Styela clava: one gene and its partner. The protein of the gene in region 2 interacts with the protein of the main gene of each other region in a pairwise test. Links are inferred from orthologs where the notes say so. Each region holds a gene or a part of one and is shown on either strand. Other genes may lie near its edges.

Region 1 (11,280 bases), on a different chromosome or scaffold from region 2:
CTTATCTGCATCGCAGAACCGAAAGTTGAGAAATTACATTATAGCACAAAATCCTGTACAAATTAATTTTAGCAGCTTTGCGAAACCTATTTTATGTATATACCCAAATATCAATTTATGCAAATTCATTTCCAATAGCGCTTCCAACAAACAAAGCCGGTATTCATATTGAGTCATTATATATACCTAATACTACACACCTTGACAAAAAGAATTGGAATAGTCTGTTTATTTTTGCTGAATTGTCTAGCAACTCTGTACACTGTTTCTGGAACATATTCCATCACAAGGTTGAGATAAAGTTCATCTTTCTGGAAAAGATATGCGAAAAGGTCGTGGTAATTAAAACTTCAAAGCTCTCGATACGAAAAATAGGAAATATAACTTTTAAAAAGAAGCTATCATAACTAGGATCGTGCATTCAGATAAAAATTCATTTGACAAACTTTTGAAAAAAAAAATCGGAGATGACTCAAACTTCAAACATCGGGGTTGAAAAGTAATGTGACCTTAACTTCAACCTAGAGAAACCCCAAGCCTATGAAAGTTTTTTTGCTTTTGATGAAATAATTTAAGTTAGTTTGACGCTTGTTTTGTATATGCTGAGAGCTTTTACTATTTCTTAGTCTAAAATACAGATATTATACTTAGTTTATAATCTATACTTAGGGTATGGCTCTGATTTCAAATTCTGGCTACACGAACCACCATCATACTTTGGATTAGAAACGAACATTTTCATTGTTTTAAAGAATCATCTTTCCTTATTAAATACACAAACTTTTAAATAAAATTACAAACTATTAATAATATGGTAAAATGGTGGTGGTCTTAAAAAAAATGACCAAAATCACAATAACCCCTATATATTTTGCCTTTACGCAGTATATAAACTGAATTGTAGAAAATTGTTAGAATACAAAAGCAAATACAAACCTTTTCTCCACTTGAGTAGAAAAAATATCTCAAACTGACAATGTTGCAGTGATCTAGCTTTCGCATTATTTGAAGTTCGCGATTCTATAAGGGAAAAACACCTAATTTCAAAATCTAACTTTTGACAGTCATAATTGGTTTACATGTTCAAATTAGGATATTTGATCTGACTTGTAATCTAGCAAATTTTGCATTCTACCCAAACATTTTTGATCAAATATCATTTCTATGCTTGTTTATGCATAACATGGTCCCACAATGTAATAGCCATTTATATAAAAAAACAAGTTATTATTGTATCAGTATTCTAGTTCATTCACAATTACAGCAAATACCTTGAATCTTCTATCTTGCAAAACTTTTTTAATCGCAACCATTTCATTGTTGTCTGCGAGTCTTGCTTGATAAACGACACCAAAGGATCCATTTCCTAAAGAAGAAAGAAATTCATATGGAATGATTTCAAAATTTGTTTTATTTGCAACAAAGATTCAAGATCCTTACTATTGCGCAACGTCTACAATATAACAGCGGTATAATATTAAATACAGTGTTGAATTGCCACTGGTATAAGATAAGAAAATGATTAGGATTCTGGGAATACAATAATACCAAATACTAAGATTAAATGATGCAAAATTAAGTCGAAAATAGAGATATTTTATACGGTAAAGCAAAAGAACATATCAATCCATCTACATTGTAATGTAAAGTAAATCGACATATACCAGTAATTACCTATAACTCTGGTGTCTGTATATGAAACTTGTTGCTGTGTTTCTGGTCCGTGTCCTGGAGTTGCAACAACAGTTGTTATCTTACCTTCTTTCTCGCCTGAAATGAAAAACATTTTCAGATGATATTCTTAAATTCTAGTCTTAATAAAATACATACAATTTAGCAATAGCTCATTTCAAATTGTTATCTTGGAGCTCAAGACTATCTCCCCCTAATAGATATAAAAATACAATCACAGTAATTCATATTATACTACTTTGAATGCAAAATAAAAAGGCATTTTTTTATAGGCCTGGGATATCTTTTTATCTTTAGAAAAGTACTAGAGATTGTGACTTGAAAAACTGAAAGATGTGTATACCCTGCTAAAACTGATTGAACACAATCACCAACAGCATGATTTGGGAATCCTGGGAATATTTTAAACACAATCAGAACTTACTAAAGAACAGTGAGATATCAATAATGTACAGTACACCTATACATTAATACAAGTTGTGAAAAATTCCTAGAGATCAACATGAAAATAGTGAGTTTGAAGAAGTTTATTTGAATGTATAATTTCCTGATCAAATTTTAACATTTAAAATATGCTTAGAATATATAAAATCGAAACATACATATGAATGAGATTAAAAAAAACAGGCTATACAAAAACTGACATCTATTGCCACAGCAGCAGCATTAAACTTCTAAACAAATGAATACTTCGTGTAATAACTTCGAGAAATCTATATGTAAATTTCACCTATGAAAGCTGAATTAAATAACAAAAATGTTCAATAAAAGTAGCCTATTTCATTTTGTAGAATAATTAAACATAGATATATTTACAATACAATGTTACAAAGCTAAAGCTTTAGTAATCGGTGACAAAATTCTGATTCATACATGTTATATTCTGACAGGTATATCAACTGATTCAAGCCAAAGCAATGACTGGCATCACCATGTCATAAATCATGTACTTTTAATTTACAAACCTCATAATACTGTGATGGTATCATAATGAATTGAGTGATCTTTAGAAATAACCATTGTTACATGTTACAGCCGTCTCAAACTTTTAATCGTTTTGTAATTGCTTGTCACAGGATATTATGAGGATGATGTTTTATAACCAAATAATATATGAAATTGTATTAAAATTCTACCTCACGTACTGTTCTAATTTGGAAAGCGTGAATATTCACGCTTCAGGATAACTACCTCGTGAATCTTGTCATAAAGTATGATTTCTCAAAATATGATATCAGGATTGGAAAGACTATTTCAAGTTTGGTATATCTGATCAGATTTATTACACCAATACATCAAATACATTAGGATTATATTATTATTTTTTGCGATTCGTTTCAGTGAGCTAGATATTGTATATTTGTTGAATTAGAACAAGAAAATTTGTTTCAAATTAGGCATAAATTTCAGTCAAAAATATTTAATAAGAATTTCACACAAATCTAAGTTGTAATATAACATTTCCAATAGATGAAAGTTTTATAACTTCATTCATTGCACCAGTTTTACCAGTCATATTCATTTTATTTTGAAATTATATGTTTTTTTCTAGAAAAAGCCTACAATGCATGAAATTACTTTAGCCTCAATACATTTCATAAACTTCTAATTTCAATGAATTTGTGTATTACTTCAATATTAATTAACACCCAAACAACAAGGCCATTATAATTCATTCTGATCTGGCACACAACAAATAATAAACACCTAGGTGATACAAGAGTGATAATTTATCTGATATGTCGCAAGCTAACTCAACTTTCGAGAGCAAATCTAGCTGGCATCCAAGTTCTATCATTGATTACGATAAAACTAAGCTCTTATTGCACTTAGAGGCACTATAGGTATTATCTCTTACATGGCATTTTAACAAATAGATCCCATGCATTATGTTTATATATAATATTTATCAATAAAAAAAGTCACTTACGGCTGACTTTCATATTTCCCTCAAATTTACGAGCATGGTTAAGTGATGCAAACTGTGAGTCGCCCTTGGGTCCAAGCAGCTTTTTGGTGCTAAACGACGTTGCAGCTGACAACCTATCACTGGTATTAAACGTTTCCACCCCTCTTGAACAACTACTCATAGTAAGAAAACCTAAAATGAATATTCAGTATTATTTATGGATGCAAGTATCAAAAAATTCTACTTCAGTCTGCGATATTTTTCTAAAATGCAATCTATCATTTATTCTATGTGATTTAAAGAGTCTTGCTGCATACTAACACAAACATATTTCTGTAACGTTTCGTCTGACTTCTTCAGACATACATATTTCAACTATGTTCAACATTACAGAAATATATTTGTGCTAGTGCGCAACAAGACTCTTAAATCACATAGGTTAGTTATCTTTACTTTTGCTACAGCATCCTTGCAATATATGCATACGGATCAACAGCGGCACAACAACATAAAAGAAGGATAAGTGGTTTTAGTCTCTCAGAAACCAAATCATTAGCATAAGGTATCATTTATTCTTTCTGATACTAATCATTTTCTTCGCATAATCAGAAAAATAAGGCGATGTATTATACAATTTTATACAATATTTAATTACGCTCAAATATGACATTTCGCATGTCCTTTCTAACATCAATAGCCTGGTCCACATTCAAATAATATAAATATAGAATGAACAATAGTACCTAGTACCTTTTTGTAGAAATCAAACAGCCATTTTCACTTGAAGTTGAAATTAATTCTAAAAAGCATAATATTATTGAATAACTAAGACATAAAATACTCAATATTTATATATGGTTTAAACTTTAAACAGTAAGATAACTGATATTTCACAGTATTAGATAATTGGATTATGGGTGCATATTTAATACAATAAAATGACAAAAAATCCAAATTAACAAAGTAATAAAAAGATTCCTATTGGTAATAGAAGACTTATTTTATTAACGACTTGGATAATCAAGATTACAAACACCATACTGATAATTTATGCCATTGTACAGAGTAAAATTTGGTACATATAACAGATACAAACTTTTAGTTTAAATGGCAATTATATAAAAAAAAAATATAATCTGGCTATTGCTGTAGTACGAAAATTGTTTTAACAAGTTGAAATTATCCCATAATATTGTGATATTCAAATGAAAATAACTCACCAGATATATTAATTTGTAAAATAATTAAAATCAATCAGATAATTACCTAAAAACCTGAAAAAGGGAGAAGTTTTGGTCAAGATAAATCTTCCACTCATTGCAATAAGGTAGCCTAAATAAGTAGTATACAGACTTGACTTTCGGGAGAAATGATAACTAACTAGACAGATTTAACTACATGCAGGCAGATAAATATCGTGTCATATGGGTCAAGTTTAGTTCATGGATTACCGGTACATGGTTTTCAAATAGACAAAGAGAGAAAATACAAATTTAGGCACTATAGGAAACTCAACCTAGGCATAATATTAGTTAAATTTAATCTCTACAACAGTGAAAGACTTGTTCTAGACAAGTAATCTTGGTATCAAGCACTTTTCCTGGCTATACATATACACCAGGCATGGCCATAACCGAATACTGGACTATTTCAAATAAATTATAAAATACCACAATACATAAATTTATTCATTTTTTTTTAATAGGAATTAATAGTATCAAGATATACAGATGGCATGTACGATATGATCAAAATTTGGGATTTTCTTGCTTCTAGGAATAGAGAATCGATTTATACTTATGATTTTGGCAAGCACAGAAAAAAAGCAAATAGGCGTCCAGAAAAATGTTTCAGATTCTACAGTAACATCAGGGTCCCTGACAACACACACACACACATTTTGACACAGCTGTTTTTTGTCAGCGTGAGTGACATTCAGACCATCAGCAATGTCTGAATGAAGAGCTAAATTACATCACTTCCCCCTAAAAAATTTTATGTTGACGAGGTTATACTGTTGCGATTTCGGGTCTCATGTAGTTTCTTACCTAACACACTTCTAGTGGGCGTAGCATGAAATTTTTTTCACGTATCAATCCTAACCCCCACCTGACTACACCATCCAAAAATTACGTCATTATGACGTCACATTGATGTAATAGAGCCCTTCAAACTATACGAACTGCCATCCAAGACGCGCAAACGAGCACCCGAAATCGAACAGTTAGTTCTCTCGTCGCAACGATTCCAATAGGAGAGAGACCGATAACGTCAGTCAGTTTTTTATCGTCGGCGCCAATGCCGTTTCGGTCGATCGTGCGTATATTTGGCAAGCTCTATGCCGTGATTGTGATGTCGTAGTGATTTAATTTTTTGATGGCGTAGTCAGATGGGGGTTAGGATTGACATATCAAAAAATTGTTATGCTACGCCCACTAGAAGTACGTTAGGTACGAAACTACACGAGACCCGCGATTTCTATGTCATAGTTAAAATTGTGACCAGACCCATCAGTATAGCCCTAAAAAAACATTATTAGTACTTTGATATCTGTTACCAAATGATCAATCCAAGGGGTTTTCGAACTTCAGTAAAAAAAGCCCCTTCTTAAATGCTGTAAATGTTTTCGTCTTCATCACTAAAACTGAATGTTTATTATAAAATACTTTTTAATTTACTGATTTATATTATTGAATACAATATAATGTGATTTTGTCAGAGAATTTGGAAATGGGTTTAACCTCAATAAGTTCTTCGATTAAAGGTATTGTTAGTTATAGAAAAAATAAAATTGTGAAAAAGGGTAGGCTGCTATAAGTGCAGGCCAAAAGAATTAGATTGAGCTATGCTTTTGAAAGTTGACAAAACTGAAGAACCAATCAAGTCTTTCTTTATCTTAACTTTTCAAACACATTGGCTTCCATTTTTGCATTTATTTTTTGTTGAAAATAACCCATTATACCGTCAGAAAAATGCATTTAATATACTTATTCATTTATTTAAAATATAAATTTAAAAAGGAAAATAAAATCAATATACTGATATACAAAAATCTGGAAACAGTAGACGTAGATTGGAAAATTATGTGTCTCTGTTTTTTATTGGCAGAATTAAATTCATTTCAGTTTCAGAAGCATGCTGAATGAACAAGACAAACTTTGGTTATAAACCATTATTAGAAAAAATGGTTCTAGCGAAGTACGTCGAACAAAAATGTGATAAAAATAGGATAGGATTTATAAATCATCCTGTGACTGCGTAATTAACGCGAAACAAAAATCCAATGTGAAAATACAACCTAAATTTAAATTTTTCTTAAAAATAATAGTCTGGTCTCGCGCGGAAAGCTATTGTTACTCTGTTTGGCATGACGTGCTCAGTTGAAAATTGAGTGGGTTTGCTAAACGCGTCTGTCAAGAATTTTAATCTGGACCAGACGGACTTTTTGAAAAAAAAAACGTGAAAATTTCACATCCATTTTTGGTTTGGCGTCTTTTAAGGAAATCGAAAAATGTAATGAAATCCACAATATAACACTTGATGGTCCTAAGTTACGGGTACCAAAATACTGTAATAACTAAGTTAAGTCAATCAATTTTAGTAAAACTGTAAAACAGTAAAAAGACATAAAATTCCAAAATTAGACGTGTCTACAACACAGCATTAGCGTAGTCAGTTCTGCATTCCGCCTGTAGGTAGGCTATAAATTATGCTTTATGACATTTCGGATTTGGCTATCACTGTATCAAGTAGTACGGTAACATTACCATAAATTGACATTTAAAAGTCCCAAAATTCGACTTTATCGACACTATAACTAAATAGTGGGTTTTTAGAAATATCATGTGTAAATCTTACAAAGCTGAGATATGGTAATCCAAAGATGACACTAACGATACTGGTAGTTGAAAAGAGATTCCAACCAAGCGCGGCGCAAACGCCAACGAAAAAGGCGACGCCAGAGCAAACTGCCATTCGCTTTCCGCGAAAGCTGTGCCCAAGAGAAACAATGGACACGGTATCTGTGCGCTGTTTCATCGATTATGAAACTTATGGACTATTTTTCGCAAATAACTCATTTCGCATCCGAGTTTTATTAAAGAGCGAATAAAACAACTAAAACTATCTTTTAAAAATATGGATAAAATAAATAACAAGATCAAGTAGCCGAAATGGACTATCATTTAGTATATTGTTGAATTTTAAAATATTAACACCAACAGAAGAATTTAGCGCACCTTAAATGGAAATTCACATTACGAATCTAACAAAAGACAATGATGGCGTATCATTGCCGTACTTAAAAATTATAACCACAAAATACACAACAATAAAATACACAATGCCTTTCACCCCGATTCACTGTGTACTTTTTCTCTTAAATATATTACGAATGTTTCAATTCTACTACTCCTTCGCACATACGCATGTTCGGTGACACACTTTCGCCACATTATTATAATATATTTAGTTTATTTTGCGATTGACCCCACCCCCTCCACACACACTCGTATTACAACGAATCTACCTAAGAATCCTCCAAATTTGTTATAACTTTTTGTAAATTAATACTGAATTATACAACGTTCAACATTTCCCATTAGTAACCCTCAATCTTGCATCTTAATCATCCAGGAGAAAATTTCGGTAGTTGACTTGAAGACCGTTTGCGTGGTCGTATGTATTACTCCCGTTCATAACAGAGCAGTTTATCGCTGTTACTTTTGTACAATTCAATATTGTTTCGATGACTGCATTTGTGGTTGAAAAAATAACATAGACTATTTATCTTCCTCTCTCCCTTCGGCGATGAACGAATATGATTATTATAAATTAATACAATCAGTCAACTTCGTGATTTTTTGTGCTTGGTTTTGTAATGATTCTGAAAAGTTGTTGTGGGTTGATAAAGTTTTTGCGTATGGCGACAAAAATATCAGGAAATGTGCAAAATTATTTTAGACAGCCTTACTAAAACGCTTGAATTGTTCTTAAACTTTCACTAGTACGTAGTCATGAGTGACAGTGTTAGGTGCGTCGCTGATAGTCCGGCAGAATCGGGCCTTAACATTGTTTTGGGACATAAAGTTTTTTTTATTGTTTAGATATAATGTAGAATTTGTAGATGACATATATAATGATACCCAGGTGGGTGTGGAGTATATAATGTTGAGCACTTTTTTTAAATGGATTTAAAGTATTCGTACAAAGATGACGCACATCCTGAACCCTAACCTGGTAAACATACGATGTTCAGGTTGTGCGTCATCTTGGTACGAATACTTCAGGAGCGCCTTTTTGTTAAAAACAATTATTTCATAACTACATGGTTTAGTTTTGCATACATAGTAACATTAAATCTCCTTACAATGTCAGAAATTCAATTTTAGTAGAATAAATGGTGGTTTATTTCACTAATACAAGCCAAGATCCATCGACAGCAACTAGCCACTTTCTATTGCGCTCTTCAAACTACATTTGCGTTGCCGCGCGCATTTCGTTTTCCTAGTTTAAGCTTTGGAACTTGGAAATATTTTATTAGTTGAATTGGATTGGAATATTTGACCTCGTCTTTCACTCCGAACAAGGCCATGTAAAACCATCCACTGGTATTTAACGATGTGTAACGTGTTTTCTTTTGAAAGAACCGGAACCTTTCAGTGCTGCATTGACTTTGGCAAAATTAATATATCCTTGTGGAGATAGAAGGTATGCGTATGTGAAACCGAGATGTGCACCTGTTATGCCAACATAGTTTAGTCAAACATTTTGAATGCTAGTACATCACACACATTTTCCTGCGTGCTTCGGTTGTACGTAGTAACGCGCACATTTTTGCGCACATGCATCAAATTCCACTTGATTATTGATCTATAGGTTTCTGACGAGCTTTTGTGTATGATTTCATTCTATAGAATTGTATGCTGTTCTAAAGAATACTAGTTTCAGCTTTTTCATTTATTCAAACCGCGTGTTGAAAGTAAGTTTTGTAATATTGCGTGTTGGTTTTCAACATCCCTAAATCGGTGATTCCAGTAAATCTTTAATACAAAAAGATCAGTAACATCTGCAATAAAAACAGCAGTACCCACTCAAATGTCAGCTGGGGGATGGATACTCCTAGTATCTGCTCCATCGCGTGCCTCTTACAGTCCAGTTTACATGAGTGTCAATTGGCATCTAAGCTCAGCCATAGACAAAAAGTTTCGGACTGCAGTTGGCGTGACGAAATGTTTTTAAATATATCTTCTACAATAAGATTATTTGATTGCATACTACTGAAAGTTCCGCCTTATATGTCTTTTCCCATTGCACTATTCCTTTACTGATATTCGATAATATGACGCTCATCTGACATAGTTCTTAAAGTGTGTAGATAGGTATAATCTTTTCCACGCTGTTCATATGGGGATGCGCGAATATATATAAGAATTGCTAATATTCGTTTGCAATGCGATGAATTCCCATCTTGGCATTTCTGCCTCTCGCAATTGCTGCGTATACTTATCGGAGAAGTTCTGTGGCGTGGTTATCAAATGAAAAAAAAAACATGGGAGTATTTTTTCTACTTCTCTACTACTATCAAACCTTGACATTTTGTGAAAACTTTTTTTCCATGCAACCTTTTTTTAAACATCCCCAACAACCACAATTAATTCTGTTATTAAACTTCCAAAACAAACACATAAAATCATCAACAGATGCATATCGCTAAGTAGATATTGCTGAATTGATCTTTATTTTACCATTTTTCATGTAATTCTTTTTGGTAAACTTGTTATCTATCGTAAATACGGCACATTTGACAATGTTGTAGTGTGACTTTTTTGGCCTCACATTTTTGATATTTGTAGTTAGAGCTCTTGGGGCTCTGTCAAACAAAGTTACAAACATAATATTGGCTGTAAATTGCAAAACATGATCATGTTGTTGGAATAACTTGGCATTTTATCACCCGTATATCATTCATTGTTGAGAATATTAATGAAATCATAAAATTTAAAAATCCGTTTTCGTGAATTTTTTGTTGTAGCTGAATTCCAGGGACAACATGACAACAGGCAAGAGAAGCACGGTCGCCTCTTTTAGTTTATGACAGGGACCCCGTCCACTTTAGAGGCCGCTGATCGGTTATCTGGGAGCAAGAACAAACAGATGGAAATGCGAATATATAATAACAATGTATTTTTATAGAAGAGAAGAAGCTAAAGTGTTGAGAGATTTTGGTAGTTTGAAAAGCATTGGCATGGAACATAAGAATGAACTACATTCTTTCCTAGGGAAATACTATAAAATGTAGCAATTTTCTCATTCTTGTTCTCGTGATATCATTAAATTTCACTGCCCGTCGTGATCATCCCGCTGCATAACAATTCTCGCTAACAAATAATTGACTGTTCTCCACCGGGTGTATATCCACTTGAACCACTGGCGACTGCATTAGCAGGCTTGTATCGTTAATTGCAACAATAGAGGGTATTTTGAAATAGTACTCTTTATTTTACGCGTACGTTTCAACAGTATTTCTGTTTGGTGCTTCCGTACTTTGTCGTAGGTTATGGTTCAGGTTGTGCGTCATTATGATGCACAGGTTTGACGAAAAACACTAATACAAATATCTCAACAAATACCTAAAAGTTATTGATTTTATTTTCTAGTAAATTTGGTGCTTGCGTAGT
Region 2 (10,895 bases):
CTTCTCAGCAACTTACGAAGAAGCAGTCATGAGATTTGCCAGAAAAATTGTAACAGAACCAAACATTATACAGGTACTCCATGTTAGAGCTAAGATCTGAAGCCCGGGCCCGACCCGAATTTCGGGCCTGAAACATCAATCATTACGTTAGGGTCGGGCCTGAAACATCAATCATTACGTTAGGGTCGGGCATGAAATGTCAATCATTACGTTCGCGTCGGGCCTGAAATGTCAATCGTTACGTTCGGGTCAGGCCTTCGGCCTTCGCTATCGCTGACTTTTTTCAATTAAATATATGTCTATAAAAAATATATAATAAAATCATGTGTGGATACTAAACTAAGGAATGCATGTTATAAAAGAAATATTTTGAATAAAACAGAAAAGAAGCTGTAATGGCCCTTTTCTCGACTTTTGATCACCGAAAATATTCTTTCTATACTTTACCATTGCAAATTTTTCGAGGCTTATTTTAAGAATTTCGGGTTTGCTTCGGGCTCGGGCCTGCAAATACAGTTAATTAGTCGGGCCAGGTTGGGTTTAATACCCACGGGCCCGAGTCGGGTCGGGCTGGAATTTTTGGGCCCGATGTTACCTCTACTCCATGTGTAGAAATCACCATACCCTTTGATCAACTTATATCGGAAGTGATTTTATAAGAAATACATTTCAACTATAATATGACTATTCGAAGGTTTCAAGACAGCTGCTATTGTTAAAATTTTTAAAAGAAATTTATATGAAAATATTCAAAAAAAAAAGTTGTTATTTAAAGCTGGTATGCAATCCTAGTTTGAAGCAATATTCACCAAAGTATTCCAACAAAAGGTTTACAGGAGTTTAAAAGTCAAAAATATGTTTCTACTCATTATCTCGAAGCAGCTTTTTCAAGTTTTGCTCTTTTGGGTTATAATCCTCATATTGTAATATGTAAAATTTACACAGGTTGTCCAAGAACATAACGCTATGATTTGCATCTTTTCATTTGTAACCATATCTTTATTACATCATGTTTGTCTTTTTCAATAGTTTGCTTGTTGTAGCCATTGCTATATTTGTAAACATACACTCTTTTTATCATTCATAGCTGAGAAGAGAAGAAGAAACATTAGACAATATCAAGCAATATTTCGTCAAATGCACCAGCAAAGAAAAGAAAGCCGATGCTTTGTCTAATATTTACAGTGTACTATCTGTCGGCCAGGTACTGGTGTAATTATTTATAGAAAATTTCCTTCCTGTATTCTGAGCATAATTTACTATTTCAACATCTTCTATCCTTCTGTGATCGGATTAGTCTTTATTGACACTAATATAGGTTTTCTTCTTCAGAACACTTGCAAATTATAATGAATGGTCATATGAAGGTGCAAACTAGGGATAGGATGAGATTCTTATTTGAGTCGAATCCACACATTTTACGACTCAAATTTGAGCATTTAATGTAAAATCTATATAATGTTCAAATAATATGTAAACTGGTAGTCTATCCATCTTGGATTGCCAGATACTTTATCTCTACTTTATAAATTAGGCTAATTATGCCTGGCCAACAGTTATCCAACATTGTAGCCTTGACCCCAGCATGAACTTCACTAATACTTTTCCCAGAGTAGTTATGAGAGAATGATGTGTAATTGTTGAATTTGATTTTTAATTGTTACTCACTGAACTGATTGGCGTTTTAACTTGACCCCTCTCTTTCTGGAGTGTTCACTATTTTAATTTTCATGATTGGTTACAAATTTTTGTATGCAATGTCTTATTTTGTTGAAACTAAATTCCAATCCATTTAATATTTTTTGTCAGGCAATCATATTTTGTGCAACAAGAAAAACTGCGAAATGGCTTGCACAGACGATGTGTGAAGGAGGATTTGTTGTTGCCTTGCTAAGTGGAGAACTGGATGTTGAACAGAGAGCTTCAATTCTACGTCGATTCAAAGCTGCCAAAGAGAGAGTTCTTGTAACAACAAATGTCTGTTCGAGGGGAATTGATGTGGAACAGGTAAATTTTCTAAAATATATTGTATGCTTATTCATATATATATATATATATATATATACGCTACCTCATATACTGAAATAATCTGAACACCATCATTTTTTGTCATATTGTTTCAATACAACATTGCATAAAAATAAATAGTAAAACATTGAAAAACAGACCACAGAATTTTCTTCTTTTTTCTCAATTTATTTCCCTTTATGTTAAACAGGTCACACTGGTTGTGAACTTTGACCTTCCTATCGATATGCAAGGAAGAGCGGATTGTGAAACATATTTGCATCGTATAGGTCGCACTGGCAGGTTTGGAAAATCTGGAATTGCAATCAACTTTATCAGCCAAAACAGAGATGAAATGGTTTTGCGAGAAATCGAAAAACATTTTGGTGAGTAGTGTTGATACCAAGGTATTGATTAACCAGGTTTTCAATGTCTGAGGGTACAATAATAATGATGACATTTTCTAATACTGCTATGATGCAATTCACTAGAAACAATCATGGAAGTGGCACATGACAAGATGTTAGAGTTACGAGTCTGATTTGACTAATCCGAATAATAACTGAGCTTAGAACTTAAGTTGAATCTTCAGAGTTTGTGATTTCACAACAGATAACAAAAGCATGTTTCACAGATAAATTGAGCCACATATACGTGGTTCATGCACCGAAAAGCACATAGACATATTTTCTGGCCACATTAGGGACAGTACGCACCTAGTATGTTACGAAAGAAATCAATATTTTCCAACAAGACCCTGGTGATAGATACATTATGTTTTCAGAGAGCCTATGTGGTCGATTGAATGATTTTGACTAGATATTGTTTGTGCTGATCTTCGGAGGGATGGAAAGTACATAGCATAGGTTTCAATTAGTAGATACAGAATTTGATTGAGACCTAATATAGAATCCTTGTCCCAAAAATATGTGGATTCTAATTAAATCAAGTTCTGATCCAAATCTCGACCCATCTGTACAAAATATATGCAAAGACATATTTCAAGATAAATATTTTTGTGTCTTCCAAGTGACATTCTTTATTGCTGAAATTATGATGCTATAAGTATCATTTTGTTTATCCTGTCCTTTCTCTAAAGAGCACTGATGGGGCCAGAGAAAGGTTGTGGAGAAAATGGGTATATATTATTCCAATAATCGTCTATTTTTTATCAGGGGTTTACTAACCCTTGTAGTCAATTGTTAATGCCAATACTGTATATATGTATATAGGCATAGCATACTATGAATAAGGGTAACAGGGACTTATTACTAACGTTATGGTTGTTTTATTTCAGGAATTAAGGTTCATAACTTGGACACCAATGATTTTGATGATATGGAGAATAAGATTGGGGAAAAGTGAACAGAAATCATGCACACATTTTAGACTTTGTTTTGAAATTTCGTTTTTTGATCAGTTACTACTTGCTGAACTTTTTTATTCAATAAATAAACAATTTCTTTCTCCATTCCAAAATATTCTTCTCTGTTTTACTGCTGTAGCTGAATTCGGTGTTTTGAAATATTAGTCAGAGAATGTGAGTTTACAACAGTGTATTTATCATGAGTACTTTATCATTGAGTGTATGCTCAAATATATGGACACGTCACAAGGTGCCACTATATTTTATTCTGACACATAAAATACGAATCTCCGCAGAAATTTTTGAAAAAAGTAATAGCCTTATGGCGAAAAAATCAATCTTTAACCACTGAAAATTTCTAAAGCAATTGGTCCAGTATTCGAAGAGAAAAGCGATTTTATAATGGTGATGAACTACAACATAATATTGAAACGATCGTTATGTCGTGTCCAATACCGTGTTTTCTCGAAAATAAGACCTAGCCTGGATTTTAAAAATCATTTTAATATAAGCCCTCCTCTTAAAATCAGACCTAGTTGATACGCAAAATTGTTTTTGACCTAGTCGGTAGCAAAAATTCTCTCCTGCACGCTTTAAACGATTGATAAGCTAACTTTAGCAGTTGATTTGAATAAAAAAAACGTGTTATTTATAAGTAAATAGATAACGGCTTTCATATTTTGTATATAAATTTGAAAATCTCGTAATTCTTTACTTTGTAATTTTGTTTTTATTAAATGAAAATATAAGATATCCCCCGAAAATAAGCCCTAGTGGTACTTTGCGGAAGTAACTTGAAATAAGACCCAGTCTTATTTCCGGGGGAAACACGGTAACACGACTCAGCCCGCAGGTGCACAGCTGAAAACCACGGGTCTGGGCTGGAGTAATAATTGAATTGAATATCAATCTGAAAAATATGTCTGAGCACTAAAATTTCAATTGTTGTCTCATCTTTGGCATCTGCTGATTAACCGATGTTATCGAAATAAACATGGGTGTCGATGGTCAGGGAAACATCCGCTGAACAAAATAAGATTAGCCTTGCTGATGAAGACATGATGGAGAGAACATCACCCTCTTTGTTGCCCTCACCATGGTAAACGGGGATTTGGCGCCACATAGCGGCATAGCTGAAATTCGGCATATCAAAGGACATGCCGCGGAATTCGGCACTGATCAAAGACTTCGGTTGGGCCTGACGAGCGGATGTTTTGAGGTTTTGCGAAACTTGGTTGACTGATTCGTAGTCTCTTTTGTTCCTTTATATAGTTTTTCCCAGCTAGTAAATTATCAAATAATTTTCAAACACACCAGAATAGTTACGGTATAGGTCGTTTTAAGTCTGAAAGTACAGCAGTTCTACCAAGGTGACTCGTGACTGAAAAATGAATGGCATGGATTCATTTTCAAAAATTTGATCAGTATCAACTACAGCAGACTACGTCTAAAACTGTACCGGTACGCTTGAATATAAGTTGATTGTCGAGGGTTGGTTGCTGAATTAGAGGATGACAACGAGACCAAATCAGAGAATTCTGGGATTAGCAGTCGATTAGACGGGACTTGTGAACTTTCTGATTGCATTGCTGTAGATTTATACAGATGTACTGGTATACTCCAGAACTTATATAAATCAGTACAAACTGTATAACTTTATTTGCCTGTGACAGTAGGCTATGACCTGTTGGTTTATAGTACAGTAGTATTACAGTATTATCATATTTGTACCGGTATGTAGTCGCAACAATTAAAACTGAAAGAAGCTATTATGACTCAGAAATAATAATATAGTCCTGTAGACTAGTCTATTATGATATTATTATATGCAGATATGAGTTATCGGTTCATGTCTGTAATGAAATACAAATTTTCATGATATTGTTCAGATCATTCTAATATCATACTATTGCTTATATGTGAAATTTAGTATAAAATATCAAATGAAAATGGTTGAAAAATAATTACAAAATGCACCAAGTCAAGCAGCATGAATAACTTTGGGGTACAGTCGTTTTTACAAGGCCATAACTTCACAAAGCCATATGCAAGACCCCCTGCCATTGGAGAAGAAAATGAGGTCACATCTGTTGATGGACGTATGTCAACACATAGCAGTGTGAGTGGGAAATCCGAACTGTCGACTGCAACACCCAGGTATATTTCATAGGTTCTTTTTATTTTATCGATACATTCCAGCATTCTGAGTCCTCCAGTTGTATGTTTGTGTTTTATTTAGTCTTGTTGATAAATACAATTTAATTCTAAAAGTTCATTCTGGAAAGCAATTGACTACGTAGATTAGTATATGTATCATTCTTCGCTCATTTCTCGAAGTTTTAAACCTAACTATTCTGAAATTTGATTTTTTTTTTCAGGCGAACTGACATAGATCTCGGATTTGAACCAGAAGGAAGCGCTTCACCTCTTCCTACTTGTGATCGATGGAGATCATCACTTCACAATATGTTGGAAGATAGTGAAGGAATTCGATTATTCAAAATATTTCTTGCTGATAGCAAAAGACAAGAATTATTAAATTGTTGGTTAGCTTGTAAAGGATTCAGAGACTTTGGTACAAAAAATAATTATTCAAATAATTCTTCGGCTGCTTCATCAACAACAGGACCATTGACAGCCCAAAGAACTCAGTTTGATGCTGTAACTAGGTGAGAATTATTCTATTGGTAATAGTTTTGAAAGTATATAACAGAAATATGGAACTTGCTCGAGCACTGTAATCCACTGGCTCTCAACCTTTATCTCTTGTGGCCTATTTTCAGCGTCAAACAAAATCTCAGGCTCACAAAACCTTCGAGTATCTTAAATGTTTTTATTTGAACATTACCAATACAGTAAAAGTGTCAATAACAAAACTAATCCATGTCTATTTATCAACTTGTCAATTTGAACTACCAAATGAGGGTTCAACCTCGAGCATAAATCACCTCTTTTTTTTTCAATTTGTACTTGATGTTTTCTTGGGATCTACTGTAGGCTCAATGAAAACTTCAGGCCTATTTTGAAAATCTGGTTGAATTGAATTGTAGTTTTCTATTCTAAGCATATCTACTGGATCCCAATTTTATGTCTATGCAATTGTCCAATACTATTTCAAAATGGATTACCAGCTATTTTCTTGTACAGATTGTGCATCATTGCTAGTTTTGTATTCATGCATTTGTTGATTATATTTTCAGAGGAAAACTTGCAAAGACGATTTTCAATACTTACTTGAAGAAAGATAAATGCCATGCAGTGTCAAGTATCATAAGAGATGCGACCCGACAGTATATTTGCAAACAAATAAAGAATGCATTGCAGGTAAGTTTTTTTACAACATGAATATATAGTATAAGTAATAATTGTATGGTAATAATGAATATCTGAATTTTGACATTGATTCCCAGCTTAAATTGTTCTATCAGTATCAGATATAAACTAGACACATCACTTTTTGGTTGTCTAACTGTGCCTTTCAATAGTTTGTGTTATGATTTTTGATAGAATTGAAACCATGTTAATGAATGTCAATGAACACACTATGTATTTATGTTTAATATATAATATTAAGGTGGACCGTTATCAAAACCATGACAAAGATATATGGTTTAGGGCGGGTGTGCAACAAGCGGACCATGACCCGGCCTACTAAGCCATGTAGTTAGGCTTTTGTGAACAATCTGATTTTCCTAATTAAGCTTACAATCATAATTCGAAAATTTATGTTTAAAAGGCGCTCATATGGTAAAATACATAATGTTTTATTGCGCTTGTCAGTTGTCACTGCAATTAATCTTCTCTGGTGCTACATAGAAAAACTAAATTTTGTGTGGCCCAGGTAGATGTATGAAGTTTGTTTTATGGCCCACTGCCAAAAAATGTAGCACACCCCTGGTTTAGGGAAGAGTTTGTGTTATGTTCTTGTTATGCACAATGTTTGAAAAAACAAATGACTGGGTTTTGGTCAGTCCAATTTCCAACTCAAGAGCTGATGATTTCATTGGATGTAAACTGTACAGTACACTGCCCTGTTAGTCATTGAACTTGTAGAAAAGTTTTCTCCAACAATGCTTCTTTTTTTAGGCACAGAAAAATATGTCTTGTTCTGTTGAACTAGACGCTTCTCTGTTCGACCAAGCTCAAAACGAAATCGAATCCAATATTGAAGAAAATTCATATATTTCATTTTTGAAAAGCGAACTTTTTCAAAATTATGCTGCACAATGTGAAAACAAACCCAGTAAACAAAGCCCTCAAAATGCATCTACACTTCATCATTCCGAAAACAAGGTGAGGTCTTGATTTTGTGCAATTTTTCATGTCAAAAAGTGCTTCTCCACATATTGAACTTGCCTGTCACTGTTTCTTCATGTATCGCATTTTGATTACTTGCAATCTGATGTAACTTGAGATGATTTATATAGTTGGTTCCTTATGATACTTAAAATTAATGTGAAGCCTGATTATTTTAACCTATAGCCGACATATGTTTTTTATTTCAAAATTGTCTCCAGAGTGCACCATCGAATGCTCCTCAAGCTGCTCCAACTGAATTGACGGTACCTGAGGGCAGATATGGATATTTACCAAGACTCGATGAGAATCGAGAATGGTCTTTGCCACCTGTCCAACCAAAGTAAGAATTTTTGCTATTCATTATGATCATTAGCTATTAATCATCCTAGAGCAGCGGTTCTCAAACTATGGGTCGCGACCCACTGGTGGGTCGCAAAAGGAATCTTAGTGGGTCGTTTAAAGATGTAAAAAGCTTTGATTAATTATACTGGGTATTAGGATCGGTGGCGACTCGAATATGTAAATCCTAAAAAAAAAAAAAAAATTAAATTGAATTTAAATTCTGATCTGTGAAAGTTTCCTTTTTACGATCTTCTCAAAGGAACACAAATTTGCTACACAAAGAATGATCATGTGGCCTTTTTACGCATAGTAGTTTTGTACACTGTGCAGCACTTCTTTCCGTGTTTTCTCGAAATTTAGACAGGATTCAGATTTATTTTCTTTTGAAGAATAACACTATGTTTTTTTTGGAAGAGGTCTTTTGTGTTCATTTATCAAAAATAAAATTACATTGTAGAAAATCATGAGATTTTTTAATAAACATTATATAAAAACCGACATCCATTGTTTTTAATTTGTAATTTCCTATACAAAAATCAAGTGACAAATTATCATAATTGTGATTGTGACATCACACAATCGTGAATAGTGGTGTGATCTTCACCTTACCTCAGGTCATTGAACCTTTCCTCTCACATTTTAAATTTATTTTAAGGGAAGGGTTTAATTAAAATCATTTTTGAAATTCAAATTAGGTCTTATTTTCAGGCCAGGTCTTATTTTCGAGGAAACACGATAGTTTTGCGATGATTAGCCATTGCTGTGTTCTGTGTTATGTCATAAAAAGTTAAATGGGTCGCCATAAGCTGTGGTAATAAATAGTGGGTCGCAACTCTAAAAAGTTTGGGAACCACTGTCCTAGAGTGAACAGGATTGATCCAAATTCAATTATATTTAATGTGCATGTGCTGGTGGTTGTAGCGTTAGACTTAACCCTGTTGGCTTCGCAGGTTCAAATGCCATGCCCACCTCACCCAGGGTGTAAAAAATGGGGTAGGTAATCCGAGCTGCTTATCCTCCTAAAAACAATATCTCCTTTCACATCATTAGATATAGGTGGCTGCTGTTAGGACCTTGTTTGAAGTGAGAGGTGTGAATTAGCAATGTATAAATGAGAATATCGGTCAGAGACCGAAGACTTATCGATCGAAAGTTAGGGGATCCCCAAAACAGCGCTCCTACTCCATAGTGACACCTTGTGTCCCATCACTAATTAATTACTTGCTAATTATACGACATAATTCGCCCAAAATCAATAGGCTTCTGGTCCGAGATATGATGGTTACACATGCAAAATCTGAAGCAGATTCAATCTCGCTTTCGTGAGATATCGCATGCATCTGACAGACAGACAAATACCTATCAACATACTTACCGATTAAAATCTATAAGTAAAAAGCAGTATACCAGGGGATTTGTTTGTTATTTATTTATGCATGAAAAAGTTATGTTCTATGAGTTTATGTGCCAGTCTATAAATAAATATTTTTCAAATGAAGTTATTCTAAGAAGGATACGAAGTGATTTGGAAATGTTTTGGATTTGTGTTGAACTAGATCGAAAAAACAATAACAATATTGCAGTTTCTAACTATCAGCGCCTACTTTGGTAAATGTAAGTTTGGTTCATTATCTTGACTTCAACTATCGGTAATTTAAATTATTTTTTTATATTCAGTGATATCATATCAGAGGCAAAAGATAAAGACCAGACATTGAATTCTTCAAGGAGGAGTGGAACAGCATCACTTGCACGTGTTGTAATGGAAAGGAATAGAGCTGCTTCACAGTATGAACTATATTCAAATATGACGGACAGTCTTGACCAGGTATGTGACGGTATGTGCAATATTCACATGCCAATAAAAATGTTTTTTCTGATAAGAGTTTGGAGGAAAAATAGTAATTTTTTCTTTGTGAAGTTTGTTTTCATTAGAGGTGTATATAGACCAGGGGAGACCAACCGGAGGGCTGTGGCCCACCAAGGGCAACTGCGCTTCAGTTAGAGGGGGGGGGGCAATTTAGGGGGGGCAATTTAGTATGGTTTATGGAGAAATCTAGAATAGGCTATATGTAATTTACATTGAAATAAATACAAAGAAGACTTCAGCTAGCAGTTTTACTACCGGTTCAAGTGTTATCTAATCCCATTTCCCCACCCCTCCCCAGTTGTAAAATATTGTGTAGGCAATGCAAAACCGGCAATATTCTGTTCATTCAAAATAATAGTAACTTCTTAAATATTGATGGCTGCCTGTGCAGGACCTTTTTTGGAGCGATCATGTGTAAATATGCTTTGTATAAAAATTACGTTTATTTCAGAAAGTAAAGTTCGGGAGTCTGGTGCATATGTATATCATCATTAACCTATATCTAAGTTTTAACTTCTGTGACATTTTAGAACAATCCTGCTTATCCTTATATTGCTGCTCCTGGTGCCACGAAATACTATGTACCTCCTGCTTCTGCAAATGCTAGCGACAATGCCTCATCTGATGCTACTTCAGACTCTTTATCCATGACTGATGGAAGTGTCGATCTTGACGGAAGTTCTGCGTATTCATCAAAGAAAAGTATTTTTTTTATCTTATTTTTACATGTATGTTCAGTCGTGTGTTTATTATAATATAATAAAATTATGACTCAACAAAAAAAGCAAAATATGACAGAACAAATAGGACAAAGATTTGTCCCAGCAGAAAGACATAATGTTTTGTCTTTCTGCTGTCTTTGTCCTATTCGTTCTGTCATATTTTGCTTTTTTTGTTGAGTCATAATTTTAATATGCTATTTGCTGAGCCATGTTCTGTCCTATTTTGCTTTTTTGTTGTGTCATGATTTCGATATGCTGATTGGCTGAGCCAGTTCTGTCCTATTTTGCT

Evidence for each region.
Region 1: the proteins of axin-1-like (region 2) and glycogen synthase kinase-3 beta-like interact in a two-hybrid assay, tested with the Drosophila melanogaster proteins (2 studies listed by BioGRID, with this or other methods). The link is inferred for Styela clava from reciprocal best matches to the Drosophila melanogaster genes Axn and sgg.

The regions. Positions count from the first base shown.
Region 1 is NC_135253.1:9,238,210-9,249,489, reverse strand, and holds the start of glycogen synthase kinase-3 beta-like, read right to left. Parts: upstream 4,882-11,280; 5' UTR 4,822-4,881; intron 4,401-4,821; 5' UTR 4,352-4,400; exon of another isoform or gene 4,345-4,351; intron 3,794-4,344; 5' UTR 3,783-3,793; coding exon 3,623-3,782; intron 1,771-3,622; coding exon 1,675-1,770; intron 1,367-1,674; coding exon 1,272-1,366; intron 1,021-1,271; coding exon 937-1,020; intron 312-936; coding exon 201-311; intron 1-200.
Region 2 is NC_135256.1:17,127,279-17,138,173, reverse strand, and holds the start of axin-1-like, read left to right. Parts: upstream 1-5,248; 5' UTR 5,249-5,363; coding exon 5,364-5,530; intron 5,531-5,751; coding exon 5,752-6,042; intron 6,043-6,573; coding exon 6,574-6,697; intron 6,698-7,459; coding exon 7,460-7,666; intron 7,667-7,890; coding exon 7,891-8,012; intron 8,013-9,691; coding exon 9,692-9,842; intron 9,843-10,414; coding exon 10,415-10,586; intron 10,587-10,895. Other genes in the region: ATP-dependent RNA helicase DDX19A-like, read left to right, coding at 1-73, 1,088-1,204, 1,810-2,007, 2,219-2,393, 3,305-3,372.